7 linked regions of the Callithrix jacchus genome follow. The protein of the gene in region 6 purifies or fractionates together with the protein of the main gene of each other region. This does not show direct contact. Links are inferred from orthologs where the notes say so. Each region holds a gene or a part of one and is shown on either strand. Other genes may lie near its edges. The genes, in order: LSM14A, EP300, CHTOP, ALYREF, CSNK2A2, PRMT1 and DHX9.

What was found.
Region 1: the proteins of PRMT1 (region 6) and LSM14A purify together in Homo sapiens (affinity purification with mass spectrometry; 3 studies listed by BioGRID and IntAct, with this or other methods). This does not show direct contact. The link is inferred for Callithrix jacchus from reciprocal best matches to the Homo sapiens genes PRMT1 and LSM14A.
Region 2: the proteins of PRMT1 (region 6) and EP300 purify together in Homo sapiens (affinity purification with western blotting; 4 studies listed by BioGRID, with this or other methods). This does not show direct contact. The link is inferred for Callithrix jacchus from reciprocal best matches to the Homo sapiens genes PRMT1 and EP300.
Region 3: the proteins of PRMT1 (region 6) and CHTOP purify together in Homo sapiens (affinity purification with western blotting; 7 studies listed by BioGRID and IntAct, with this or other methods). This does not show direct contact. The link is inferred for Callithrix jacchus from reciprocal best matches to the Homo sapiens genes PRMT1 and CHTOP.
Region 4: the proteins of PRMT1 (region 6) and ALYREF purify together in Homo sapiens (affinity purification with mass spectrometry; 3 studies listed by BioGRID and IntAct, with this or other methods). This does not show direct contact. The link is inferred for Callithrix jacchus from reciprocal best matches to the Homo sapiens genes PRMT1 and ALYREF.
Region 5: the proteins of PRMT1 (region 6) and CSNK2A2 purify together in Homo sapiens (affinity purification with mass spectrometry; 3 studies listed by BioGRID and IntAct, with this or other methods). This does not show direct contact. The link is inferred for Callithrix jacchus from reciprocal best matches to the Homo sapiens genes PRMT1 and CSNK2A2.
Region 7: the proteins of PRMT1 (region 6) and DHX9 purify together in Homo sapiens (affinity purification with mass spectrometry; 3 studies listed by BioGRID and IntAct, with this or other methods). This does not show direct contact. The link is inferred for Callithrix jacchus from reciprocal best matches to the Homo sapiens genes PRMT1 and DHX9.

Annotation. Positions count from the first base shown.
Region 1 is NC_133523.1:30,894,967-30,899,229, reverse strand, and holds the start of LSM14A (protein LSM14 homolog A), read right to left. Parts: upstream 2,801-4,263; coding exon 2,680-2,800; exon of another isoform or gene 2,397-2,679; intron 1-2,396. Other genes in the region: uncharacterized protein LOC144580722, read left to right, coding at 2,799-3,170. UniProt on the Homo sapiens protein: Essential for formation of P-bodies, cytoplasmic structures that provide storage sites for translationally inactive mRNAs and protect them from degradation. Acts as a repressor of mRNA translation. May play a role in mitotic spindle assembly.
Region 2 is NC_133502.1:191,898,496-191,902,453, forward strand, and holds the start of EP300 (histone acetyltransferase p300), read left to right. Parts: upstream 1-1,158; 5' UTR 1,159-2,383; coding exon 2,384-2,477; intron 2,478-3,958. UniProt on the Homo sapiens protein: Functions as a histone acetyltransferase and regulates transcription via chromatin remodeling. Acetylates all four core histones in nucleosomes. Histone acetylation gives an epigenetic tag for transcriptional activation.
Region 3 is NC_133519.1:14,060,070-14,063,569, reverse strand, and holds part of CHTOP (chromatin target of PRMT1 protein), read right to left. Parts: intron 229-3,500; coding exon 42-228; intron 1-41. UniProt on the Homo sapiens protein: Plays an important role in the ligand-dependent activation of estrogen receptor target genes. May play a role in the silencing of fetal globin genes.
Region 4 is NC_133506.1:137,488,185-137,492,467, forward strand, and holds the start of ALYREF (THO complex subunit 4), read right to left. Parts: upstream 2,801-4,283; 5' UTR 2,795-2,800; coding exon 2,537-2,794; intron 2,051-2,536; coding exon 1,919-2,050; intron 547-1,918; coding exon 399-546; intron 1-398. Other genes in the region: anaphase-promoting complex subunit 11, read left to right, coding at 4,024-4,132. UniProt on the Homo sapiens protein: Functions as an mRNA export adapter; component of the transcription/export (TREX) complex which is thought to couple mRNA transcription, processing and nuclear export, and specifically associates with spliced mRNA and not with unspliced pre-mRNA.
Region 5 is NC_133521.1:16,047,686-16,051,185, forward strand, and holds part of CSNK2A2 (casein kinase II subunit alpha'), read right to left. Parts: intron 3,251-3,500; coding exon 3,102-3,250; intron 1,691-3,101; coding exon 1,614-1,690; 3' UTR 1,597-1,613; intron 1-1,596.
Region 6 is NC_133523.1:43,444,349-43,448,274, forward strand, and holds the start of PRMT1 (protein arginine N-methyltransferase 1), read left to right. Parts: upstream 1-1,126; 5' UTR 1,127-1,170; coding exon 1,171-1,206; intron 1,207-1,305; exon of another isoform or gene 1,306-1,487; intron 1,488-3,445; coding exon 3,446-3,499; intron 3,500-3,710; exon of another isoform or gene 3,711-3,807; coding exon of another isoform or gene 3,808-3,825; intron 3,826-3,926. UniProt on the Homo sapiens protein: Arginine methyltransferase that methylates (mono and asymmetric dimethylation) the guanidino nitrogens of arginyl residues present in proteins such as ESR1, histone H2, H3 and H4, FMR1, ILF3, HNRNPA1, HNRNPD, NFATC2IP, SUPT5H, TAF15, EWS, HABP4, SERBP1, RBM15, FOXO1, CHTOP, MAP3K5/ASK1, MICU1 and NPRL2.
Region 7 is NC_133519.1:41,075,479-41,079,459, forward strand, and holds the end of DHX9 (ATP-dependent RNA helicase A), read left to right. Parts: intron 1-165; coding exon 166-366; intron 367-2,806; coding exon 2,807-3,158; 3' UTR 3,159-3,481; downstream 3,482-3,981. UniProt on the Homo sapiens protein: Multifunctional ATP-dependent nucleic acid helicase that unwinds DNA and RNA in a 3' to 5' direction and that plays important roles in many processes, such as DNA replication, transcriptional activation, post-transcriptional RNA regulation, mRNA translation and RNA-mediated gene silencing.

The sequences.
Region 1 (4,263 bases), about 13 Mb from region 6:
TCATGACACAAAAAACAAATTTATATTTTATGTCGAATGAATTTAACTATTACAGACTAATGAAATATTTATCGACTCAAAGCTGCTTAAAAGTTTTTAAAATGTGGGTTAAAGTGTAGACTTTTGGGGTTCCTGCATAAAAGGATATGTTCATAGTTTTTAAAAAAGAACGAAAATACTTCAGAAATTTTCAAATGTATGTTTTTTTTCCTTGTGAGGCGTGAAGATAGCACAGCCAATTTATTGAGTCACTAAACTGGCAAGACACTTTAAATTCAGATTAGGCAAAGCAACACTTAAAAAAAATTTATTAAACAACTTTAATGAGAAATTATTTTCAACCCATATCTGGCTCTGATCCAGCACTTTTCATAACTTCATAGAGGCTTTTTCATAATTTCATAAAGCCAGAAAAATACTACACAGCTAAATATCTACTATTAAAAAATAAAAAATAAGGCCAATCAAAAACTAAGTTACTTAAGAAGTATCACTGGGAAAGTCTTTAATAACCACTAAACACCATCATACATCCTCAAGTATAGTGGATGTCTAAAAAGATGACAAAGCCCTAAGCCTACAGTTGTTTTATTTTTTTTTTTTTTAGTTATTTTTATTATTTTTTTGAGACGGAGTTTCGCTCTTGTTACCCAGGCTGGGGTGCAATGGTGCGATCTTGGCTCACCGCAACCTCCGCCTCCTGGGTTCAGGCAATTCTCCTGCCTCAGCCTTCTGAGTAGCTGGGATTAGCAGGCACGCGCCACCGTGCCCAGCTAATTTTTTGTATTTTTAGTAGAGATGGGGTTTCACCATGTCGACCAGGATGGTCTCAATCTCTTGACCTCGTGATTCACCCGCCTCGGCCTCCCAAAGTGCTGGGATTACAGGCTTGAGCCACCGCGCCCGGCCTCCTACAGTTGTTTTAATGAGGTAATGTGTCACAACACAATGTTTCACAAGGTGAACAGGGAAATTTAGGGGTACTCCCTGGTTTTTCACACTTTTAAAATTAGACTTGGTGATTTCAAAGTGTATAATTCAATGATTTTCAGCAAATCTGCAGAGTTGTGCAACTGTAGCCATCTCGTACTACTCCCTTACTGTGTACAGTTCTATAACATCAAGGTTCCCTACCCAGGTGTAAAATTTGTTCCAGTACTAGGGCTGTTAAAAAGATTTACCAGAGGCCAGGCGTGGTAGCTCTCGCCTATAATCCCAGCAATTTGGGAGGCTCAGGAGGGTTGATCAACTGAGGTCGGGAGTTAAGACCAGACTGGCCAACCTGGTGAAACCCCGTCTCTACTCAAAACACAAAATTAGCAGGGCGCTGTGGCGGATGCCAGTGATCCCAGCTACTTTGGGAGGCTGAGGCAGGAGAATCGCTTGAACCCGGGAGGCAGAGATTGCAGTAAGCCGGGATCATGCCATTGCAGCACTCCAGCCTGGGCAAAGAGAGCGAAACTCCATCTCAGGGGAAGGAGAGAGAGGAAAAAAAAAAAGGGATTTACCAAAGCATCCAAAGAAATGTCCTGAAATACTTGATTCCGTGAAACCACTCCCCTATCAGTTAAAGATTTAAAAAATTTTACAGATTATGAAAATCTTCCTTATCCTTGTACCTATGACCTATCTAGAGGATCCCTAAGCATGCTTATGCAGTTCCCACCTCTACCAGAAGCGCTGGGAAAATCACCTAGGTTATCTAGCTTCCCCCAAAATATTTTACACTATTGTGAGATTTCCTTAAGATTCAGGAGCTAACGTTTATTTTCTTTCTGCTTTCCTGGAGGAGCAAAGGCCCTGCACGTGTGAACGGAAACAAAACCCACACAGACTCTAGGGATGCCAAATATTAATACTATGGGTAGGGGCACCTTCCTTCTCGACAGAATTCCCTTTCCCAACGAGCCTTCAGTCAATGCCCACTGAGCCTGGATCAAAGGTCAAGATCGCCTGGATCAAGAAGGGTCCCGGACAAGCTTGAACTCGTTTCCAGAAGCAGGGGCGTCCGGGAAGCAGCAAACATTTTTACCGCACGCTCTAATGAAGATGGTTGCACAACAGGCTTTGAGAATTCCGGTTTAACAGGTAAATACCAACAGAGGATGAGCCGAGGGAGATGGGATCTGCTCCACTGCACCGATGGCATTTCGAAAATGTCTGCGTCGCAGAGCAAACCCAAAGTTTTAGCACATTACTCAGAGTTCTCCTGAGGAAGATCGCCACGAACAGAAATGAATAAAGTGAGAAAATGGGTGCTGTGGAGTCAACGCATCCACGATGAACTCAAGCTGGGCGAAAAAATTCTTTGAATACTCGGGCTTTGTTTTGTGCTAAGACAACAGAACTCCCGAATCTCGGAGTTGGAAGACCCGTTTCTCCGTGTTCTCCCGCCCGTTGTCGGACTTCAGGGCCGCCCGCACGCCCGCCCGCCGCGTACTCAGTCCCGTAGTTCCCCGTGCTTCAGGCGCGGACCTTCCTGGGGGGCGGAAGCCAGGGAGACGCGGGGAGGCCGCGGTCCGGCCCGCGACGCCAGGGCCCGGAGAATGGAGGGGAGCGGCCTCCCGGAGCTCCACGGAGGGAGGGGAAGGAGCGAGCCAGGAGGCTGAGGGCCGGAGCGGGGAGCAGCCTTGAGTGGCGCCCGGTCCGACCCCCACCCCGAGGCCCGGTCCCACGTACCTTTGGCGAGGGCTACGGTGGAGTTTTCGGTGTCGATGGTGTAGAGGATGCCCTCGTAGCGGATCTCTGCCTTGGAGATGAGGCTTATCTTGCTGCCGATGTAAGGGGTGCCCCCGCTCATGGCGCCGCCGCCGCCGCCGCCCCGGGCCGCTCGCAGAGAGGCAGATCCCACGCCGCTGTCGCCCGCTCCGCACGCCCGCTCGCTAGGTCGGCGCCTACAGCAGCCGCTTCAGACCCAACATGGCGACGGTGCCGGCTCCGCTACCCTCCCCCAGCCTCCCGCCCTCAAGTCGCGGCGCGGCGGCGGCCGCGGCGGCAGCGGCGGCGGCGCGGAGCATGCTGGGAGGGCGAGGCCGCGCCCTCGCGAGACTTGGCAGGTGGCGGGTGGTTCCCGACTGCTTGGCGGCTTCGGGAGTCCTGTCAGCGCCTATTTACCTGGGCTACGACGGCAGTCCTGGGGCAGCGTGAGAGGAATTTCGGGGACTTGCTGAGTGCCTCGTGGCACCCGCTCGCTGAGGGCTGGAGAGGAGGCGCGCGGCCCTCCTGACCCAGGCCGCGGCCTCTTTGTCGTGGGTCCCGTGTCTTTGCCGACGCGAGGCCCCCCGTCTGGAGCGCTGCCCACCCACCTGCCTCCGAGCTTTGGCGAGTCGCTGCTCATCCTTTTAAGACGCTGAACCTGTACCTCGTGGAGCTTCCACGGCTCCATTACCGCAGCCATCGCCCAGGAAGTTTCCCCTGAGGTTGCTCCTGGAGCTGGGGCTCTCAAAAGGACCCAGTTTTTCAGCTCGCCCTGTCCCGCTCGTTCATCTGGTCTGAACCAGCCTAATGGCTTGCATCGCCATTGCAACTCACCAATCCCAAGTATCAGTCTGTAACTTGGATCAATTCCGTGAACTCCGATTTCTGTGGAATTGGTATCTCAAACGTTAAGGGTCCAAAGCCATGCTCCCTGTTTCTCCTCTAACCTGCTCCTTCACCACCGTTCCCCATTGATGTAACAGGTACCATTTTTACTCAGCTGCTCAGACTAAAAGCCTTGAGTCAGCCTTGACCTCTGTCTTGCCTCCACATCTGTTCTGAGTACACCTCTGTTATGTCTACAGAATATTTCCTAAATCTGACCCCTTCTCCTCATCTCCATCCCTACAGCTGCACGACAAGCCGCGATTACTCTGGCTAAGTTATTGCAGCAGCCTTCTAAAAGTTGCTTTTGTGTCAACCCTTGCCCTCTAGTTTATTCTCAACACAGCAGCCAGAGAGAACTTGTTAAAATCGAACTCAGATCATGTCCTTTCTCTACTCACTCTACTGATCCCATGTTACACAGAGAGGAAACCAGACTGCTTCAAAGGACATGCATGATTTTGCTTCTCGTTCTGTTCCAGTCACGTCTAATTCAACTAGTATTTGAACACTTTATTCCAATCTCTGCTCAAATATCACCTCCAGAGATGACGTCCCTGACAACCTTGTTTAAAATAATACCACCCACATCACTCTACATCCCCTTAACTCAGTTTGCATTTTCTTCATAGCATGTATCTCTCTCAAGTATGTTTACTTATTTGTATGTGTCTGTCTCTT
Region 2 (3,958 bases), on a different chromosome or scaffold from region 6:
TATCAATAGATAATAGTTTGTGAGTTTCTTTGGGGGTCACTTACACCCATACCACCTTCTCCAGTAACAATTTACACAAGGTCAAAACACAGGGTAATGTGTAGAAACCCGAAAGCATGTCTCCGACCTCAGCTGCAAAACTGCTGGGTCCCACACACTGGACTTTCCCCCCGTTACATTTTTGCTTTTTTCCATCCTTACCTTTACCACATTTTTGCTTTTTCCCATAATTACATTAGATAAGGCACTGGCTTGACGTGGTCTTTTATTAATTTGATCTATTGGGAGCAGACGGAAAAAAAAAAGAAAAAAGAAACCTAAAAATGTCTTCAGGTCCCAGGCGTGTTCAGAAAAGAAAGACTTCTGTGGTGAGAGTGCTACCTGGTAGGGGCGTATGGACGGACACACGTGGAGGGCAAGAAATGTTGGGTCTGGTGCCGAAACATCTTCCTTCCCACTGCTGTGATTTTTGTTTTCTGGTCAAAGTAATATATGCTCGTTGTGGAAAAAAAAAAAAAAAGGAAAATTCAGAGGAAATTGAAAACAACTCGTAATCAACGTGCTTTTTGGATGTGAACTACTCCCTTTGGGAAGCCAATGGAGAAGTGAGGATGCACTGGGTATTCGGCAGTGGGTACACCCTGGCTTATGGATTCGACCGGGGTTTGGGGGACCCGCCACTCAAAGGCCAGGAAGCAGGGCCGCCCCACGGGCGCTCCCCTTTGGCCATCTAAGTGGCGACTTGGCGTCTTCCTCGGCGCAGCTCCCGGGCTCAGTCGCCCAGGTTCCCACCGGTCCCCTACAAGAGACCAAAGCCAGGAACCTTCCCTCGTAACTATCGACCGACAGAAAATAGATTGAGTCCGCCCCCACCCCTCCCCCCTTAAAATCCTCTCCCCTCTTAAAAATCCTCCCCTTTAAAGGGAGCCACAGGGTGTCGCCGGGGGAGTTTGCGGAAGCGCTAACCGCGTTGGGGACTAGGGCGGATCCCGTGATTGGAACCGGCCCCGCCCCCGGCGCCACTTCCCCCATTGTGTGAGCGGCTCGGGCCTAGGCCCCGCCTCCCTTCGGAGGCCCGGCCCCTCCCCTTTTTCACCCCCCTCCTTTGGCTCATTTCCGGCCGCCGCCGCTACCGCTAGCCTGTAAGGAGGATTCGGCAGAGGGAAGAAACAACAGCCGCCATCTTGTTTGTGTGCTAGGTTGGGGGGGAGAGAGGCGAGAGGGAGCGGGCGAGAGTGGGCAAGCGGGACGCCGAGCTGAGTGCGAACTGCGGGAGCCAGAGAGTGCGGAGGGGATCCGGGACGGAGAGAGGCGGCTGGGGCCGAGACAGTGGCAGGGGGCCTGGGGCGCACGGGTTGAGGCGACCCCTAGCCCCCTCCCGTCCGCACACACCCCCACCGCGGCCCGGGAGCGGGGCCGGCGTCGACGCCTAGGGGGGACCATTACATAACCCCGCGCCCCGCGGCGCCTTCGCCCGCCGTCGCGGTCGGCCCCGAGCGGAGCCCCGGGGGGGCGGGCTCTCCCAGCACCTGGCCGCCGGCGGAGGGGACCGTAGCGGCGGCCGTATTTATTTATTTTCCGCGCGAGAGGAGGGCGAAGGAGAGAAGCGCGGCGCGAGGAGGGGCCGCCTGCGCCGCCGCCGGAGCGGGGCCTCCTCGGTGGGTTTGGCGTCGGCGCGGGCGGGCGGCGCTGCTCGGCCCGGCCCCCTCGGTCCTCTGGGCCGGCCAGCTCCGCGCCTGGCGTTCTTGCCGCGCCTCCGCCGGCCGCCGTGCGATGTGAGGCGGCGGCGCCAGCCTGGCTCTCGGCTCGGTTGAGCTCTCTGCGGCCATTAGGGGCCGGTGCGGCGGCGGCAGCGGCAGGAGGAGGGTTCGGAGGGTGGGGGCGCAGGCCCGGGAGGGGGCACCGGGAGGAGGTGAGTGTCTCTCGTCGCCTCCTCCTCTCCCCCCTTTTCGCCCCCGCCTCCTTGTGGCGATGAGAAGGAGGAGGACAGCGCCGAGGAGGAAGAGGCTGATGGCGGCGGCGGAGCTCCGAGAGACCTCGGCTGGGCAGGGGCCGGCCGTGGCGGGCCGGGGACTGCGCCTCTAGAGCCGCGAGTTCTCGGGAATTCGCCGCAGCAGACGCGCTCGGTGAATTTGTGCTCCTGTGCCCTCCTCCGGGCTTGGGCCCAGGCCCGGCCCCTAGCACTTGCCCCTACCTTTTCTATCGAGTCCGCATCCCTCTCCAGCCACTGCGACCCGGCGAAGAGAAAAAGGAACTTCCCCCACCCCCTCGGGTGCCGTCGGAGCCCCCCAGCCCACCCCTGGGTGCGGGGCGGGGACCCCGGGCCGAAGAGATTTCCTGAGGATTCTGGTTTTCCTCGCCTGTATCTCCGAAAGAATTAAAAATGGCCGAGAATGTGGTGGAACCGGGGCCGCCTTCAGCCAAGCGGCCTAAACTCTCATCTCCGGCCCTCTCGGCGTCGGCCAGCGATGGCACAGGTTAGTTTCGGCAGCCCCGGCCTTCCACGTTCCTCTTAATCTTTTCTACTCGGTGCTCCTTTATTCCATTTTTTTTTTTTCCTCTCTCCCTGTCCCTTAATTAATTTTAAAGGTATTTGAATGAGCTGATCGAAGACGTCCAGTAGCCCAACCATTTTCTTTGCCTCCTAATACATTGGTTGCAACACTGTGTCATATCGGTGTGTGTTCTGGAATTAGAGCTCGTAAGTGGGTGCTGTATAGAAATGGCCTGTATTGTTGCTCCCGTGCAGTTTAATTTGGGAAATGCCAGTGCATTTATGAGTAAGAGCTTCTATGCAATTTAAGTTTTAATTTTTTTTGTTCTTGGTAAATGAAGAATTTCGAATCCTTTCTCCTCATTGTACTTACTCTATTTTCTCTACTTTCCACCCTTTTCAAAATTTTCTCTCCTTTGCAGAATATTTTCTGTTAAATAGGATGTAAAAACTTGATTTTTGTGTGTGCGAGGTCCAAGATTTCAGATTAGAAGCGAAGTTTAACAATTGTTTTGTCTTACCTACCCTTCTTAGCTTTTTCCCCCTGCTTTTTCTTATTTGCTGTAAGAATCAATATGGAGTGCAGTTCATCTCACATCTTCCAGTTTTGGTGTGAGACCAAAATGTCTGAAACTCTGGATTTTCAGGTTGTGAGAACAGGGTCATGTTCTTTGTAGTTTGCATTCACTTTATCATTTTAGGAGGAAGAAAAAAGATAAACAATTTTGTGGAGTTATGTACCTGAAAATCAACGTTAGAAGTTGAAAGAGTTCCAGTCAGGAACTACGAACATGAACTGATTATACAAAAGTTTAAAATGTGCATTAGCTTTGGTGTTTTTGTGTTTGTCTTTTTACACTTTTAAACACATTTGGAGATCAAGATTTTTATTTAAAAGCTTTCCGGATTCTTCAGTTCATTCAGTTGTGGACCAGCCCCTTTGTCAGAGAAGTTCAGGGAGACTTCTTCCATCATCCCCTTCATTCTCTTCTTACAGTTAGTTTAATGGTGTTATCCTGATGGGCGAGGACCTTTTCTTTGCTGGAATAATGAAGATGAAGAATGGCTGGCCATCTGACAGCCCACAAGATGTTCCCCTTTACTACGGAGCATCTCTTTAACTCCCTGAGAACAGGCTCAACGTCATCCTTCCATCTGCCAGTGAGAGTGCATAATGGAGTTAAATGTACCCTTTGAGTTTGTAGAGAACTTGGAGAACATGTTTCTAAGTAGGCTTCATTTCAGAGTGAATATGGAAAGACGGAACAAATGCTTTGAATTCGTTGCTTTTATAAGAAAGATGTAAAATGAATTTCAGTTAACCTGCAACAATTGGGAAATAGGAATCTTGCAGAGTTCCTCTATTTAAGGCTTGTAACACTGATTATGCATGTACTTTGATCTGTACCTATTCTATGAAGGTACTGTAGTCTCCAAGGATATTTTTTAGCTGTTTTTTTTCTT
Region 3 (3,500 bases), on a different chromosome or scaffold from region 6:
GGGAGTAGGGCCTGACAATTATCAGGGTACACAGCACTGACCTCGGAGCGACATCCCGCCCCTAAGCAGGGTTCTGGTGGCACGTCCCCCACGTAGTCCTCCTCTGGGCAAGCCTCTCTGGATTATGGGTAGGCCTCGTCCTCCGATTGCTCCCCTGGCCAGGGCCCCTATGGGTCGGCCTAACCGTGCCTGGATGTTACTCTTACCCAGGCGCTGCTTTAAGCTCTTCTGGAAGAAAAGGTGTTAGGGGATTGAGATCAAAAAAGCAATCCAACAGGATCTAGCAACTCAAAGTGCAGAGAGAAAGCAGCAAGTGAGATGCTGGTGTGAAGGGAGATAAACCTGCTGTGGTGTCATAAGGACCCCAAACCAGAAGCAAGCCTTTGCCTCGGAACATGTTAGACAAGAAGCAGAATTTTGATCCAGAGCTGAAACTTCAAAAAGCTCAAGTGTGGTCTCATGAAATGGACATCTCCACAAATTACCTCACTAGTCTGGCTACAGAAGTCATACACTGCCAGTTCAAAGTTTTAGTAAGAACATTTCTATAGTTCAATCTGGATTGTACTGCTTTTGAACTACAGGCTGACAATGATACGACTTGATTCATACCTGCCCACCAACTAGCACTGTCTTCAAAGGCTTACTCAAACACCAAAGGAAGAGTTCATCACACTCTGGGCAAAACTTAAACGACAAGTTTACTTGAGTTCTTGTGACTTAAGAACAAGATTGATTTCTCAAAGAGGCCCGTGTGCTCCGTTTTTCCTCTGAGAATCTATCTCCAGACGGTCCACTTTTTACCTTAAGATGTAAATAAACACAAGAAAGTCAAATCTCCTTTCGTTTCTTAGAAATCCTTAATTCCAAGCCTGCCCTTGCAAACAGCTCCTTTAAAATAGTATGATGACCTTAAATTCAAAATAAACATGTAAATCAAATGTATCTCCACAGAGTGCCAGCCAAACTTGTCAGAATTATTCAGATGAGCTGTAATCACAAAACTCAGGGCCATGTATGAGGACAGGGACACACTCCAGAGACAGAGTATTTTAAAGAATTTTTTCTCAAAAGAAAATCATTAAGACTACATCTCAGAGAATTAAATTCCTTCAAAGGAAAAAGGAACAGCAATAGCCCTGAACAAAACCAAGGTCCTAGCAAACCTGATTATCCATAAAGCCATCAGTCAATATAAAAGAAAATAAATTCTACGGTCCCTTCAGTCTCGAGCCATAAGTGACTACCAAGGTGTATGTGTGTGTTTTCTTTTTTTCTTTGAGATGGAGTTTCACTGTTGTCACCCAGGCTGGAATGCAATGGTGTGATCTTGGCTCACCAAGACCTCCCAGGTTCAAGTGATTCTCCTGCCTCAGCCTCCCGAGTAGCTGGGATTACAGGCGTGCGCCACCACACCTGGGTAATTTTGTATTTTTAGTAGAGATGGGGTTTCTTCATGTTGGTGAGGCTGGTCTCAGACTCCCAACCTCGGGTGATGTGCCTGCCTTGGCCTCCAAAGTGCTGGGATTACAGGTGTGAGCCACCATGCCTGGCCTATGTGAGTGTTTTCTAATCATACCTCTCAAAAAGATGTTGTGAAGCATTATTATTAACTTCCTAGCACAAGATCATAAATTGCTTCTCATCAGTAGGGAACGTACCAAACATGATGCATCTAGCATAAGTAGGTGTAACCATCCATAAACACCTGTCCTGTTACTCCCCTGATTAACACACAATTATGAGGCTAGGACTGCATTCCACAAGCCCCTTTTCTTCAGTTACCCTGCATATATTTATTCTCCCAAGCTTTGTGCGGTAAAAGGAGATCCGTCCACTGCTGGAAAGTTCTTAGTCCATTCCAACCCTTCACTGCCACCAATACTGGCCTTTAATATTCACAGGAAACTTAAGGATGTCAACTACAGGTCGGATGCAGTGGCTCACACGTGTAATCCTAGCACGGTGGGAGAATGAGCTGAGGTACGGGAGTTCGAGACCAGCCTGACCAAAATGGAGAAACCCTGTCTCTTAAAAAAAAAAAGTTAACTATATAATTGTTTTCACTTTAGAGTTGTGCTGTATAAGGCAGCCTCTAGCTACATGTGACTATTTAAATTAGACAGTCTCACTGTGTCACCCAGGATGGAGTGCAGTGACTCAGTATTGGCTCACTAAACTCTATGACTCCCAGGTTTAAGCAACTCTCCTGCCTCAGTCTCCCGAGTAGCTGGGATTATAGGTGCTACCACCACGCCCAGCTTATTTCTGGTAGAGACAGGGTTCCACCATGTTGCCCAGGTGGTCTTGAATTCCTGACCTCAGGTGATCCACCTGCCTTGGCCTCCCAAAGTCTGGGATTACAGGTATGAGCTACCACACCCAGCCCAAATTAGATGTAAATTTTCTTTATTTTTGAGATGGAGTCTTACTCTGTTGCCCAAGCTGAAGTGCAGTGGCATGATCTCTGCTCGCCGCAACCTCCACTTCTTAGGTTCAAGAGATTCTCCTGCTTTAGCCTTCTGAGTAGCTGGGATTATAGGTGTGCGCAACCATGCCAACTAATTTTTTTTTTGTATTTTTAGTAGTTTTACTGTGTTGGCCAGGCTGGTCTCAAACACCCAACCTCAAGTAATCCACCTGCCTCCACCTCCCAAAGTGCTGGGATTACAGGCCTGGCCTAAAATTAAATTAAAAAAAAAAAAAGATTAAGCTCATTAATTGCACTAGTCATATTTAAAGTTTTCAACAGCCACATGTGGCTAGAGGTTAGTGTACTGGATAGCAGATCCAGAATATTTCCATTGTTGCAGAAAGTTCTGGCCGGGCACGGTGACTCGCACCTTTAATCCCAGCACTTTGGGAGGCCGAGGCAGGCAGATAACTTGAGGTCAGGAGTTCAAGACCAGCCTAGCCAACATGGCAAACCCTGTCTCTACTAAAAATACAAAAATTAGCTGGGCATGGTGATAGGTGCCTGTAATCCCAGCTACTTGGGAGGCCGAGGCAGGAGAATTGCCTGAACCTGGGAGGTGGAGGCTTCGGTGAGCTAAGATTGCACCAGTGCATTACAGCCTGGGTAGCAGAGTAAGACTCCATCTCAAAAAAAAAAAAAAAAAAAAATTTCTATTGAACAGTATTACTCTGGATAGAGGTTACCTCCTGCAGAGCCTATACTTAAAGCTTCTTGTTGAAAGGTCCTTGGAATGATCTGTCAAAGACTCATCTTCAGCAATTTCCAATTACTCTTGGAAAATGGCGGTGCTTTTGGCTGCTTTCCTGAGTCAGGGAGGAATCCAATCATTCCAAGGCTTAAGGTAGCTGAAGCAGAAAGCCTTGTTTATTTTTGGTCAGTGAGCCCAATGGTTCAGGGTGGGGGTGTAAGGATGTTATATTTAACTGCTGAACTTATGCACAGCCATGCAATTGCTACCAAAGCCCTTACAGTCGCATGGCACCGCCCTCCAGACGCCCAGCCACAGCTTGGACATATCCTTCCA
Region 4 (4,283 bases), on a different chromosome or scaffold from region 6:
CTCAGTCTAGACTAGGTGGGCTGCTTGCTGAGGTGTTGGGGTGCTCGTAGGTGGAGAGGTGTGGGTGACCTGACGAAGAAGAACCGGTACCTTTGTCTTTACGACTACAGCCCCGCACTCAGAGGTGTACTATGGCGGTTCTGAGAAGGCTTCACAGAAGTGAATCTTCCGGAAGGAGCTGAAGGAGGGGAGGGATGTAGCTTGCTGGATGGGGGTTCACAAGAGGTTGGTCCAGATGTGTGGGGCAGCATGAGAGGTGGCAGATGGAAGAGAGAGACAAAGGGGCAAATGCAAAGTGTCCTCAGCCACAGGGGTACCCCATATTCCTACCTGGACAGGTGCCAGCCCCAAACTCCACAAGCCCGACAGTCAGCGTGGGTCCCCCCGCCCACACTCACCATCCAGAGGGACACCGTTATACTGCTTCATGGCTTTCAGGGCGTCTGCCTTCCGCTCAAAGTGTACATCTGCTGTTCCTAAGCTGCGGCCAGAGCGGTCATAGTGCACAGCTGCCTTTTTCAGTGTTCCAAATTCAGCAAAGAGTTCCTGGAGTTGCAAAGAGCAGTTGTCAGAAGAGCAACAAAACTGTGCTCCTTCTGGTGGCCCAGGGACAGGCCCTGGAAGCGTGAGCTGTTTTGGGGGTGGTTCCCTGGGAGGCAGGGCAGTGGTAATGGGAAATGAGGGAAGGGCAGGGCAGGAGGGACAGCAACTTCCAAGAGCGCCTGGGTCTGAGGGCTCCTGCCATTGAGGGGACCTGACAGGTGTACCACGATGCAGGTAGAGGAAGTCGCAAAGCCCACTAGAAAGGGGCACAAAATTAAGCCACTATCCTCTTCAACAAAGGAAAATTTACAACACACCCAAGGGCTGTTCCAAGAAACTGTAAAGGCCAAGATCAAGAGCAAGGGAACTGGTCCGGTATCAGACCAGCTTGAAGGGCCTGTTGACTTGGGAACCCTGACCCCAGCCCCTCCCCCAAAGGCAGATTCTGGCTCACCTTTCCCTCTCCTCCTACTCAAGCCTGCGGCAAAGTCTGAAGTCAAGCGCTGCCATGGAAACTGCCCTGACCTCAGGCAGGCTGGGAGTTGGAGAGGGAACCCAGAGTGTGGGGATACTCCGGCCGCAGGCACACAGCGGGAAGTGGAGTTCACCAAAAGCGGTTTCCAGTGGATGCTAGAAACCACCTTAAAAAAAGTGTTGAGACACTGTGAGTGCTCACTGGCCCTGCTCTGTCCTCCCAAGGCAAATGGCTAGGCTGTGGACAACTGAACCCTGCCCAGCCATCTCCAAAACTGATTCCCAAAAAGCCACTTCTTAACCAGAAAACAACTTTAAATGCCGTTGGGATTCAATTTTTCTTTCTTTCTTTTTTTTTTTTTTTTTTTTAAAAAAAAGCTTTAATGAGTTAGAGAATCAAGTCGCTGACAGGACATGGGGGCGGGGAGTGATAAAACCACAATTTACAAGGTCTTTTTAAGACAATACTCAAGTCAAACAGAGCTAGAAAAACACACAGGCTCCCTCTGCTTTACAAGGTACATAAGGAAGATTCTTTTTGTCACATTAACCCACTAAAACAGGCACTAAATTTAAAGCACAAGTGGGCTGAGTCTAACAGCCAAGAACCACTCACATTTGATCAGTCTTTTTCTCTGTTAGAAACTGGAAGCCCTGGCAGAGGATTTTCACTCACAGAACCCATATTCAGACTAAGAGCAGCAGATCCTCAGGCTAGGCTAGGCTCGCACCTGCCTGCGGACTGACCCTGGCTTTACTGGCGCTAGGTCTGTCCTGCAGCCCTTCAGAGCTGGGAGGGCTCCCTTTGCCAAGGCGGGAAGGGGACTCAGGGCCACATCCCCCAAAATATGATCCGTCCTGTGCAGGGCGAACGGGTCACCGAGAAGCCTTAGTCTCTTACCTGAATATCGGCATCTGACACTCCAAAATCCAGATTGGACACCAGCAGTTTCCCACCCGTCTCCACGCCGGCACCACCCCCGAAGCCACTGTCGAAAAGATCGTGCTGCCACTTGTCAGGAAGCTGTTTTGGCTGAAGGAAAAACCACAACAACAGCAGACCTGTGAGTCTCAGTCCAGGGCTTTCCCAGTCCTCGCGGCGACCCCGGACCCTTCCTCTTCCCGGCCTGAGAGGATCCGGCGGAGATGAGGCCGCCAGCGCTCCCTCCGGCCGCTAAAGCAGCCCCAGGTACGAGGCCGCACGGTCCCACCGCGGCAGCACAACTTCAGTTCCCTTCCACTAACTTCCCGCCGCTGTTGCCGCGCTCAGCTACCCCTCCGCTCACGCCGCCACGAGGTCCCGGCGGCCGGAACAAAGGGTTGAAAAGGGTCTCAGCCTCCGGGCCGGGCCCGGAATGAACGACCTCGCCCCCGCCCACCACCCCCTATGCGCCCTCCCACACGCACCCTCCGGACCTCCGGGCGGCCGCTCCACCAGCCCTATCAGCCAGCCGGGCTCGGCCTTCGCCGCCAGCCTCCCCGGCTTGCCCTCTCCGGTGCGGCCGGCCTCCACACTCACCCTGCTGTAGGGCGCCGGTCGGTTCCTCCCGCCTCCGCCGGCCGCGCCGCGGGCGATGGCCGGCCGGGTCCGGATAGGCCCGCCGCCTCGATTCACTCGCGCGGCGGCCTGCGCCCCGCCGCCGCGGCCGCCTTGGGAGCCGACCCGGCCGCGGCCCCGGCCCCCGCCGCGGCCTCCTCGCTGGCTCCGGTTCAGTTTAATGATGTCGTCCAGAGACATGTCCATTTTGTCGGCCATGGCGGGCGCGGAATCGGGCATCGGCTCGAGCCCGCGCGTCAGCACGCCAGCACGTCACCTCCGGCGCCGCGTGAGGCCTTCCGGTGCTACGGCCTCGGAGCGGCTAGTGATTGGCCGCCTGCGGACCGCAGCGCGCGCGGGACGGGGAGAGACGGGGAAGCGCGTGCGCACTGCCGCGCGGGACTCGGCGGGCGCTGCTGAGGGAGCCGGGCCGTGACTGTGGTCGTTTTTATACCTTCCCGCGCGGACGTCAGCGCTGCCAACGGAAGGGCGGGCAGAGCCGTGCGTGATTAGGTTGGCGAAGGTGCGAGGCCGCAGGGGGTTGGGCGGCGGTCGTTGGGAGTGGGGCATGCGCTCCCCTCCCTCCCCGCCTGCCCCGCCCTTCTGCTAGGGCTGGGGGCGCTGCGGGCGCGGCGGGTGTCCGGGAACCTGCGGGGGTCCTTGTTTCTGCGCCCGCCCGAGGGCTGTGCGCTTGGCTCGGGGCGGGATCCTGCGGGAGTGGCCTCAGCGGGCTGCAGCCGGTGCAGACCTGCTGCGGGTTGCTTTTTGGTTTTTGAGCCGGGGTTTTTGGTCTCCACCTGCAACCTCGAAGTCTCCAATCTCACATTTGCTAGTCATATCCTTTACAAGTTTTGGTACGGGCCCGGCGCGGGGCTCACGCCTGTGCTCCAAACTTTTTGGGAGGCCGAGGCAAGAGGATCGCTTCACCCTAGGAGTTTGAGACCAGCTGGGGCAACGTAGTGAGACCCCCATATCTAAAAAAAAAAAGTCGAAAGTCGGGTGTGCCATTGCACACTTGTAATCCCAGCTGCTTGGGAGGCCGAGGTGGAAGGATTGCTTGAGCTCAGTGAGGCCAGCCGGGCAACATAGTGAGACACTGTCTCTTAAAAAAAAAAAATTAGTCGGGCCGGGCGCGATGACTCATGTCTGTAATCCCAGCACTTTGGGAGGCCGGCTTGAACCCGGGAGGCGGAGATTGCAGTGAGCCAAGAGTGCGCCCTTGTACTCTAGCCTACACGACAGAGCAAGACTCCGTCTCAAAAACAAAAGAAAAGTAAAATAGAAACGGCTTACGATGTTCCTAGGCTGGGTTCGAATTCCTGGGCTGGAGTGATCTCCTGCCTTGGCCCCTTGAGTAGCTGAGACTACACTGTGCCAGGCTTATTCCTATTTTGGTGCCTAAATCTTCTAGTTCTGCAGACTAAATTAAGCCTGTCATCCTCTTCCCTTCGGGTACAGGCTCTGCTGCCATGAAGGTGAAGATTAAGTGCTGGAATGGCGTGGCCACTTGGCTCTGGGTGGCCAACGATGAGAACTGTGGCATCTGCAGGATGGCGTTTAATGGCTGCTGCCCCGACTGTGAGTGTCCCTTCCGCTGTCTGCCTGCTGGACTAGCCTCAGTGGCTCCTGTTAAATATACTTGCAGGAAATCCCCACATTTTCCTTTTTTTTTTTTGAGATGGAGTTTTGCTCTTGTTTCCCAGGCTGAAGTACAATGGTGCAATCTTGG
Region 5 (3,500 bases), on a different chromosome or scaffold from region 6:
ATACTCAACTCTGTAATAAGAGAAGAGTTTCATTTGTATTTTAAGTTCCCACAGACCAAATGACAAAAATAGAATCTACATTTAGAGATAGGACCTGCTACCAATACCAATAAGATTTTATTGGAATATGGAATGTAAACAAATGTTTCAAACAAACAATCTAACCTTATAAAAATGTATGGCATTATTAAATAGTTAATAAAGAAATCTAAAGGGTGATGTGGTAGACACCTCTAGTTCTAGCCTAGGTATGTGAAGTCCCCAGAGCTGTGGCATGGCCCTGCAGCTGGGGTGAGGGGACTGCCTACAAACCATGTTGGTGCTGAGTCCCCAAAATGAAATCAGCCCTATTTTTGTTAAACGAACTCTAGTTTTCTCTGCTATCATGAAGGTTAGCACAATGGATCCAACACTTGCTCCAGGAGCACCACTTTCTTCCCCAAGCCCCTTGTATATTCTCAGTTGCTTATCAGATGATCCTGCCCACACAACTCTAGTACCTGCATGCAAGACAGACTTATCTTTGCCATCACATAAATGTATCATATCAGAACTTACAAATGCATATTACCCTGATTACAGTGGGAAACTGTATCTCATGAGATAAAAGGAAGTGGGAGAAAGTTTTTTTTCCGGTCTTTGTGAAAAAATGCTAATGGGGTATCTTCCTCCCTCACCTTGCCTGAAGACTGACTTTCCAGCTTTAGTTATGGTTGTGAACAAAAAGGTCTCTGTTTCAGAGAGGTGCATTAAAAAAGGCGCACACACAGGGATGTGCTGGGAAGTGGTGAAGTTCTCCTTACAAGGCTGCCAAAAAAAAGGAAAAAGCAACAAAAAAACACCAACAAGATTTTATGGTTAGGCAAATCAACAAAGGTTATAGTGAGCTCCAAGTTATGCACTTAGCATGGAACTTTTGATGATACTGATGGACCAGTTCATGGCATTGCAAGGTTTCATGATCCCTCCTGACATCAAAGAGGACTCTTGTGAAAGTGACTGCAGTTTGCTCCCAAATGAATCCACTTGGAGGAAAACTGCAGGGATGAGGTACATTTCCTGGAGAGCTCATGTCATAAAAAAATACATAAAACATGGATTTGTAAAGAGCTTAAAAAAAAATACTGTCACTGTTTTAATATCTCCTTTTCATAAATGAGGCTGGTGTGTCAGTATAGACTGCTGACATTTCGCTAAAACTTGTGCCTGAATTTCACCAAAGGAAACCCAGACCACAATGGAATAGATAGGAAGTCAGACATTCAGAGCTTGTTGACTGAATGGGTTAATTCAACAGCGGTGCCCTGTTAAACAAAGGTAAATGTACAACAACTCCGAGTCTCTATCTCCCATGCATTCCAAAGGCAAAGCTCCTTTAGATCCTGAACTAGGTGCATCCCCATGCTGCCACAGTGACAGCTCCCTGGAGACTAGCACTGGGGAGTTTCTTTCTTGCTTTTTGACAGACTTTTAGGTCTTTACTCTTCTTTGCATTTAGAAGGAATGATTAGAATTTCTTTTTATCACACTGTAGTTTTCCTTCAAGGTTTGTGTTTGGTTGGTTGGTTTTATTGGCAAGCATCAATGCTGCATTACCCGTCGCTTTCCAGTCTTCATCGTGCTGCCGTCAGACCACTGGAAAGCACAGCATTGTCTGCACAAGGCTGGGACTGCTCCTTCACCACAGGGTCTGCAAGAAAGCAGGAGGAAAGTCAGGCAATCAGGGTGCGGAATGCCAAGAGAAGCCCATGGCGAACCCACATTTTCGACTGAGAGACAGAATGATAGGCAAGCCAGGGTCAGAGGGCAACAGAGGAGCCAGAAATCATGGAATTCCGGCCATACAAAAACCAAACACTGAAAAATAACCAGCAACTGTTATTGCCGTCAACTCTTACACCGCCTCAAAGTATGAACTCGACTGCTAAGAGGCATAGAAACCCTAATTGCCCACTGTTCAACATTTCTACTCGTTTTATTTTCTTTCAATACTAACATCATCTCTAACTCCTAATTTCTTCAAAGCATGTAGAGTAATAAGTACTTTAAAGGAAAGGTAAAAGAGCCATTAGAAGACCAATCCATTTTAAGCAACAGTGCTTTGAAAATTTTCAAATTGAACTATGACATGTATTCAGAAAAGCAGAAAGATCATTAATTACATGCGATAAACATTAATAATCCTAATTTGATCTAACTCAAAGGGTAAAAACAGCTTTCTGAGCCAGATACTGAAAGGGGACATCTGAGTACTCTGGGGCTGAGGTCTAGAAGGCTGAAGGCTTTTAAATTTGCTATCTCCCTCATGCATATGGGTCACAGGTTCAAGACCACAGTGATACATTTTTCAGGCAAAAATTTAGTTAATCTCCAGAGGAAAAAAAAGGAGAGGGAAAGACAGCATATTGATCAAGCCAGAGACAACAACTTTAAGGGTTAAACATTTCCATCTTGATTCAGAAAGTGAACTGAGGTAAGTCTCTCAACCTCCCTGCTCCCCAGGAAGGAGACTGGTAATAGCACGAAGTTTATTTGAAACGCGTCATCAGCGGGGAGAACCATACACATGTGGAACAATAAGCAACCACGCAAACTGAATGTGTACACACTTCTAAGTGAGCAGTTCAGTCAGGATTTCAGTGAAGCCTCTCCATCTATTTTCCTTTCCTCAAATTCCTTTTATCCATCCATCTGTTCATCTCCTTCTTTCAAAATATACAATGGTTATCTGGTTATCTTACTACCTTTAACTAAGTACCAGTTTTCTGAGGGGAGAATTAATCTTCAATTAGGTTTCCACATAAATGTATATATATTTAAGAGCAAATTTTAGATACTTGTGATCTATGAATTCAGAGTGACAGGAAGTAGTCAAACAGCCTGAACTCAAGGGAGATCCAACCAATGAATAAGCAAACAGCTCTGGTTATCAAGAAACTGATCTGCAAAGTTGTCTCAATCATCTACAATTAATGAGACCAAATTCTAGGAATAATCTAATCCAAATACCCTAGAATTCTCCTAACTGATCTCAAAGAGAAAGAGTGGAAGATGTGTTCTCTTTAATGAATCACCCCTGAACACAGTCCCTGGAGACTCACAGAAGTAAGGGTGCTCCATGGCCTCTTTGGCAGTCAGTCTCTGTTGATGGTCGTATCGCAGAAGTTTGTCCAGAAGGTCTAGTGCCTCGGGGCTGACAAGATGTCTGTTCTCACTATGGATAAAGTTTTCCCAGCGTTTCCTTGAATGTCTGAGAAGAAAAATGAAGCATTAGTCATCTGAGACTAAACAAGAATCCTTATCTCCTAGGGCTAAAGCCAACAAAACCTTAGAATAATGCACTGATTATAAGCTTGTGAAATCTCTAACTGGTACTTGACCTACTGCCCCACAGTTACAGCATAGCATCCTGAAACACAATGGTGCTCCATGATTAGATAAACAGAATTAGGTAAAACTTCTATATCTGATTTAGAATCCATGGAACCTCTCTAATTTAG
Region 6 (3,926 bases):
AGGCGGAGACAGCAGTGAGCCGAGATCGCACCACTGCATTCCAGCCTGAGATACAGAGCAAGACTCCATCACAAAAAAACGAAAAACAGGACCGGGCGCGGTGGCTCAAGCCTGTAATCCCAGCACTTTGGGAGGCCGAGGCGGGTGGATCACGAGGTCAAGAGATCGAGACCATCCTGGTCAACATGGTGAAACCCCGTCTCTACTAAAAATATAAAAAATTAGCTGGGCATGGTGGTGCGTGCCTGTAATCCCAGCTACTCGGGAGGCTGAAGCAGAATTGCCTGAACCCAGGAGGCGGAGGTTGCAGTGAGCCGAGATCGCGCCATTGCACTCCAGCCTGGGTAACAAGAGCGAAACTCTGTCTCAAAAAAAAAAAAAGAAAAGAAAAACAAAAACAAAAAACAAACTTGGAATGATTATGTCAAAGGCTAGGATATAAGGATTTAATGTGTTGAGGCGGACACCTATTCCTCACTTGCTTAGGGACCCCAGACAGGCCCTTCCTCTCACTGATTCAGTTTTTTTCCCCCCAGAATGGGCACAAGCCCCCTTTTTCCTCCAGACCCTCCCCGGCCTGGGAAAATCCACCGAGTGTTCGAGGAGTGGGAGTTCCTTTGAGCCAATCGGTGGTGCCTGAAACCCCGCCTCCTTCACTACCCTTGGGCCAATCGTCGTGTTCTCCTTGAAGCCGGCCGCTTGGCGAGGGTGGGCCAAGGGCTGCGTGACGTCATGTTAGGATAAATCAATGGGAGCGATGAGGAGGCGGGTCGTTTTGGTGATGGACAGGCATTTCGAGACGCCCCTTTAGCGCGGGGCTCGCCGGGAAGCTTTGAGGCGGTGCTGGGGTAAAGGGGCGGGCATTTATGTAGACTTTGCCCAATCACCAGTCGCGCTTTTTGCAATAGACGGGCAGTTTTCCCCATCCCAGGTCGACTTGAGGGGGCGGGACTCTGGGCGCCAGAGTTGGCAAACCCCTGACCTATGATCGACGTCTTCTCTACCCAATAACTAGACGGTATTCTCAGACGGGCTGCCTCCTTTACCAATGAAATCTTCCGGCGGGGTCGCGGTAGGCGGGCCCTAGACCTTCTGGTATAAGACGGTCCCGGGGGAGTGAGGAGAAAGGGGGGGTCTTGGCGGCCGGAGGAGGATTAGGTGCGGGTGAAGATGGCGGCAGCCGAGGCCGCGAACTGCATCATGGAGGTGAGCGCTTGAAGCGCCGCCTTGAGAGGGGGGCGGCTTTGGGTCGGTGTTTCACAGCTCTGTGGTGGGGAAAGGGCTCTAAGTCGGCGACAGGAGGTTAGAGGTCGCCCGCCGCACACGGGGTCACCGCACGCTCCGCATCCGGGGATATCGTTTTAAGTTGCGGTTCCCTAGCTTTCAAGGGCCTTCGGCATCCGGCCTAGCGGAGGGTCTCATCCCCCCTCCCACGTGGAGGGGGGCTGGGGGCGCTTCCGGCCAGGCCCCCACGTGGCCTCGGCGCGGTGGGTGGGGAGGGGGTGTGCCGAGTCCGGTGGCCTGGCGGGCTCCACGTGCGGGACAAAGGCCCCGCCCCCGGCCGGGGAGGGGCGCCCGGGGGGGCGGGGAGGGGGCCCGACCCTCCGTCTGAGGCCACCAGCTCTCCTCCCCGGAGACGCGGGCACACGCCTTGGGGTGGGATTGATCTGGGGCCCACCAAGATGTAGGGAGTCTCTGGGGAAGGGCAGTGCTTCTCAGCCCTTTACAACCTCCTTCCGAGCTCCGGGGACATCTGTTGGGACAGCGGCCCCGGTTTTGTGCGTTCTGGGTTAGGCACTGGAGGAAGACAAAAGAATGGGGTCCCCCCGACCCCGTTTCCCATCTCAGAATTCTCCCCCTAGCCCAGAGCTTTAGGAGTTGGGGGATGGGGCATGCCCCTGTGACCTCCCTCTGGGTGGTTGTGGGGCATCTAGGTGGAGATTTTCCCATTAATAGGTGCCGTGCACCCCCTTGTGGCCATTTCTGGGTGTGTGGGAGGAACATCTTTTTCATGGGGCGTGTCCCGAAGCCCACCTACCGTCGGATTTCTTCCGGGCGGGGGAGGGAGGAGGGTATATCCGCTGGGAATGAGTGGTGGTGGGAAATACGTAGGCTGAGAGCTTTATCCTCTCCTGGAGCCCTTTATCTCCCCCGGGCCTTTGTGAGGGCGGGAGATGACCCCCCCCCCAGGGGGTCCTGAACCCCGGGGTCCTGAGGCTGGCTGCCTGAAAGGGTTTCGAGTTAGGTTGGGTTCTCTTTCAGCCATGTGGGGGAGGTTTCCGTCTTGCGTTTCAAGCCCTCTTGGGCTGGAATTGTCTTGAGGTAGTTTTCAGCGTGATTGAGAAATGGGCCCCCGCGGGAAAACCCCCCAGCACTTCTTATAGGCATCCGCGCTGGCTTGGGAGAGCTGGGGGGAGGGTGCTTGCAGCCTAGTAGGTCATGGCCTGTGATGTGGCCCTTCTTGGAGACTTGGAAAGTGGTCACATCTGGAAGAGATGTAATCTGATGGGACCTCTGTTCTTCCACCCCTTACCTATGGCACTGGCTGGAGGGGCAGGTCAGCTCTCAGGATGCAGTTCCCAGGGGTCACTGCTATGACTTCCCACCCCCTTGGCGGTCTCCTGCACCAGGGCTCTAAGGGTGGAGGAAATATCTTCCCCAGGGGTGGCCTCAGGCTTGGCCGCACCTAGGGGTCTTCAGGGCCTAGGATGGGTGTCTGAATGGAGGCGATGGGCTGACTCCCCAAGCCACTTTCTGGAGTCCTCTCATTCTTAGAGAGTCCAGGGGCTGCCCATCATCCCTGGGACTCCATCTTCCAGGGCAGAGGGTTGTAAGGGAGGGGGTTGGTTCCCGCTGGTTTTGTTTGGGGGCTCCTGAGCCCAAGGCAGGAGCTGGGGACTGGGGTACTAGCTCTGGGGGAGTGCCTGTGGGCCAAACCTCTTTTCTGGAATCCTCTCAGACAAGAGACTGGTTTGCAGAGGTGGCAGATGCCCTGTGGGCATAGCCTGCCAGCCCCCCTCCCTCCTGCTATTCATGGCACCCTAGGATAGGGGTGTGTGTGTCAGGAAGTGTCACCTAATCTGGGGGAGATTATGTGATGAGGGGGAGCGACAGCTGGCGGTGGCCAGTGCCAATTTCCCTGGCCTGGATGGGGGAGGTGTGTGGTCAGCTGCCTGGCCAGAGAGGAGCAACGTGGGGGCGGGCCACCATCTCTCCAGCCACAGCTGGGGTCGGAGACCCCCTTTCTTTTCTCTCCCCTCACTTTTCCCATCCCTTCTTAAGCACCCCACCTCATTACTTGCCCCCTTTGCCACCACTCCCCACAAAGAAGAAGAATTGCTGGAAACCCACCCACCCCACCTCCTGCCAGAGCCCAGGTCCCGCCGCCCAGCCCCCTGCAGCCACTCCTGGTAGCTAATCCTTTTTCCCTGTTACTCTCTCCTAGAATTTTGTAGCCACCTTGGCTAATGGGATGAGCCTCCAGCCGCCTCTTGAAGAAGTAAATATCCTTTTGTGAGACCCCTCCCCACCCTGACCTCCACATCAGTATATCTTGCCACACACTGGCCCTTTCTCGAGGTCTAATCATACCCCTCTTGCTTCAAACCAGTTGACCCCAGGCCCCCAGACACTTAGTAGCAACCCCTCCAGGTTCACGGCCCTGCTGGCCTCCCCCAGTATCAAGGCTACTTCCTTAACTCCACCTCCAGCCCCCCTTTGCCCTTCCCTGTGTCTGCCCCCGTTTTCCTTCCCCTCCCCTCCCCAGCTGTGGGCTGAGCTAGAGACGGGGGCAGAGAGACTGGAGATATGGTAGGCGTGGCTGAGGTATTGGGGTGCTCCCCTGGATGGTGCTCTGGGGGGGGTCGTGGAAGTGGAAAATGGGGCTGTTAGGTTTTGGGGTTCCTGGGGGGCTGTAGGGTTGTCAT
Region 7 (3,981 bases), on a different chromosome or scaffold from region 6:
ATTTTATTTGACTCGATAGACTTTATGACTTAAGACTCCTGCTTAATAGCTGGCAGTGAATTTTAAGAGGCTAGTGCTGATTATATTATTACTGTCCATATCTGTTTTCTCAAGTTTGGGGCCATTCTAAGTAGTTTTTTAAAGGAATGTTTTTTGCCATTTTAGGATTAAACTACAAATATCTCATGAAGCTGCTGCCTGCATTACTGGTCTCCGGGCAGCCATGGAGGCCCTGGTTGTTGAAGTAACCAAACAACCTGCTATCATCAGCCAGTTGGACCCCATAAATGAACGTATGCTGAACATGATCCGTCAAATCTCTAGACCCTCAGCTGCCGGTATCAACCTTATGATTGGCAGTACACGGTGAGTACCATATTAACTTATCTTTGAACTAAGTAGGAGAGAGATCTTATGTAGGCCTAGAATCTTAGAGTTAGTGATAGAAGTCTTATTACTTAAGTTAAAATTCTAGACAAACACCATATATAGGGAATTTAGTGCCGGCTAACATGCTCAGAATGGTTTTTACTTTTGTCAGTCCCTTGTTAGTAATTGGTCCATTGCATCAGTGAGTGCATGTTGGTAGTGCTAGAAAAGGATCTTACAAGTACGTATATAGTTCAGAATGGGTGACATGACAGGGAAGTGACAGAGCCCACATAGTCCTCTTTCCATGGTACAGTTTTGGCATCACTAAAGAAAAAATACTTATGAGATGTTAAATTGCTTTCATCAAATGTGTATGTGTTTCTGTTTAAACAACTAGAGCATGGATATTTAAGAAATTTATCTTAATTTTTAAAATTTTTATTTGCTTTAGGTTTTTTAAATGTTTCTTTTCCCACGAGTTTTTATTTACAAATACTTAATACCTACCAAAAACTCAGAAGAGTGATACAATGTATAGCCATATAGTCTTTATTTACATTCACTAATCTTCAGTGTTTTGTACATTTGGTTAATTGTTTGTGCTGAAGTAGCAGGCATTATCACGTTTTTCATCAGTACACTTCATATCTTTTGAAACAGCACCACAATACCATAGTCACACCCCAAAACGTTAAGTGTTTAGTAATGCTATAATATACTAATGTATTAAAATTCTTCAGGTTATCCAAAAATGATCTGTAATTCCTCATCAAAAATGATTTATTGGATTTGATCTATGAGCTAGGTAGATTGTTATCCTCATCCTCTTTAAGGAAACTGGGCACAGATGAGTTTAAGACCCAAAGTCATACAGCTAATAACTGATAAAACCAGATTCAAACCCAGATAACATGGCTTCTGAAACGGTGCTCTCATTATGCTATCCTGTGGCCCTTCTCGGTGGTTAAATGTATAATTCAGTAAGCGTCATAGGCAGGCAGATGCAAATGAAGTACTCATGGGTGTTTAGAAGAGCCAGGTGTGGTGGCTCATGCCTGTAATCCCAGCACTTTGGGAGGGTTAGGTGGGTGGATCATGAAGTCAGGAGTTTGAGACCAGTCTGACCAACATGCTGAAACCCCATCTCTAAAAACAGAAACAGCCCGGCCTGGTGGCGCGCACCTGTAATCCTAGCTACTCAGTAAAGAGGCTAAGGCAGGAGAATTGCTTGACTCCGGAAAGCGGAGGTTGCAGTGATCTGAGATGGACCTGCTGCACTCCAGCCTGGGCAACAGAGTGACTCTGTCTCAAAAAAGAGATACTATTTTTGGTAGGATAGCTGGTAAACAAAGGAGCCTTTGTATAAATAATATGTTTCTATGAAGAATAAAAGTCCAGAAACTAGGAAGAGGAAGAATGGGATATATGTAGAGAGTTTGGGATGTATAAATATGATGGTGGCCTGAATTACAGTGGTAGATAGAATTGCAGTGGGGAGATGTGACTGGATTCAACAGATTTATGGTAGAATCAGTAGGAATTGGTGATGGACTAAAATGGAATAGTGCGATGAAAAAAGGAAGACAGATATCAGCTGTATTTCTTTTTTGAGAGGCAGTCTTGCTCTGTGGCCCAGGCTGGAGTGCACTCACCTCTGCCTCCCAGGTTCAAACAATCCTTCTGCCTCAGCCCCCTGAGTAGTTGGGATTACAGGTGCACACTACCACACTTGGCTAATTGTTGTATTTTTAGTAGACAGGGTTTCACCATGTTGCCCAGGCTATTCTTGAACTCCTGGCCTCTGCTGATCCACCCACCTTGGCCTGCCACATTGCTGGGATTACAGACATGTACCACTGCACCTGGCCACACAGCCATATTTCTCACTTAACAGCTGAATTGGTAGTGTTGTTCTCAAAGAAAAGCTGCACAAGAGTAATAAGCAGATTGGGAATCTGTTTAATTGGAGTTGTTGATGGTCCATCTTGATTTCTGCTATTTTTCATTAGCCTTCATTTTCTTTATTTGTCACAGGAAATAGGTAATTACCAAGGACATTATTCAAAATCATACTTTAGAAATAATTCAGGAAAACATTTGGTGATAAAGACCAGTTTATTGGTAGCTGCAGGAACCCTCTCCTAATGCTTGCCTTCTTGGAACTTTATATTGTTTAGCTGAGTAAAAGAAGCCTATCCTAAACTTGAAATGACATACTGCCAAAATTCGAAACCTTTGAGATTGAACCAGAAAGAAATGTAGAAAAACAGATCGATAGAATTGATGATTATTTAGGAATAGTATATCAATTTTATTTCAATTTCTGTTTGCATTTGGCTTAATTCCTTTTATGTATTAAAATTTGAAATACGACATTTGGTGCATGGTTGAGAAATTACGCTTCGCTAAAGTGATGGTTTTGTGCTTTTTCTAGGTATGGAGATGGTCCACGTCCTCCCAAGATGGCCCGCTATGACAATGGAAGCGGATATAGAAGGGGAGGTTCTAGTTATGGTGGTGGAGGCTATGGCAGTGGCTATAGCAGTGGAGGCTATGGTACCGGAGGCTATGGTGGCAGTGCCAACTCCTTTCGGGCAGGATATGGTGCCGGTGTTGGTGGAGGCTTTAGAGGAGTTTCCCGCGGTGGCTATAGAGGCAACTCTGGAGGAGACTACAGAGGGCCTATTGGAGGCTTCAGAGGATCTGGGGGATTCCAGCGAGGAGGTATTAGGGGGGGCTATGGAACCGGCTATTTTGGACCGGGAAGAGGAGGTGGTGGCTATTAAGGCTTGGTTATGTCCGTTCCTGTGTGTAGACAGTAAGAAAAAAAAAAAAGCATGCTATGTGTTACGTGTTTTTTTCCAGTATGTTTATTTGCCACCAAAAAGTAAATGCATTTTTCCACCCATTCTGTGGTTCATTGTAGTTTAAGGAAACCAAACATAGATGCATTAGTGATTCTGTTTATATTATGTAAAATATTACGATCTATCTTAAAAATACCACAGTTTGTATTTTTTCTTTAAGGAGTAAAGATTTGCCTTTAAAAATAACTTGGTATTTTCCTGGCTTTCGTTTAATACAATAGAAAATAAAGTACTACACCGAATACTTGCTGTGGAGTTTGTTTGTTGACCTCACATATTAGAATAATTTTACAATGCCAGTTACATCTGTTCATTTTAAATGTCAGAGAAGTTGTACCCTGTTTCAAAAGTCTACTAAATGATACTACTTGTAATAGAATAAATAACCTTGGAATTGAATTGTTTACTGGAAAGTGCACAAGCCACATAAACCTATGCTCCTGAATAAAAGTTTTGACCTGAACATTTCTGGCTTCCTCCCAAGGCCAGCATTTTCTTTTCTAAGTCAGTTTCCACTATGACAAAGGTAATATAATCGATCCACAGAACTCTTGAATTAAAGGTAAATGAAGCTTCACTGATGTACACATTTTAGAGTTTGGGAGCAGGTGACACATTTATCTACCTTATGTTGCAAAAGGTGTTTGTTAAGCTACTTTGTTTTAATAGAGATGTTTATAAACACTAGTTTCCAGTGAATTTTCAGATTTCTCATTTGTGCAAGATACAGTGGAGGGCAAAG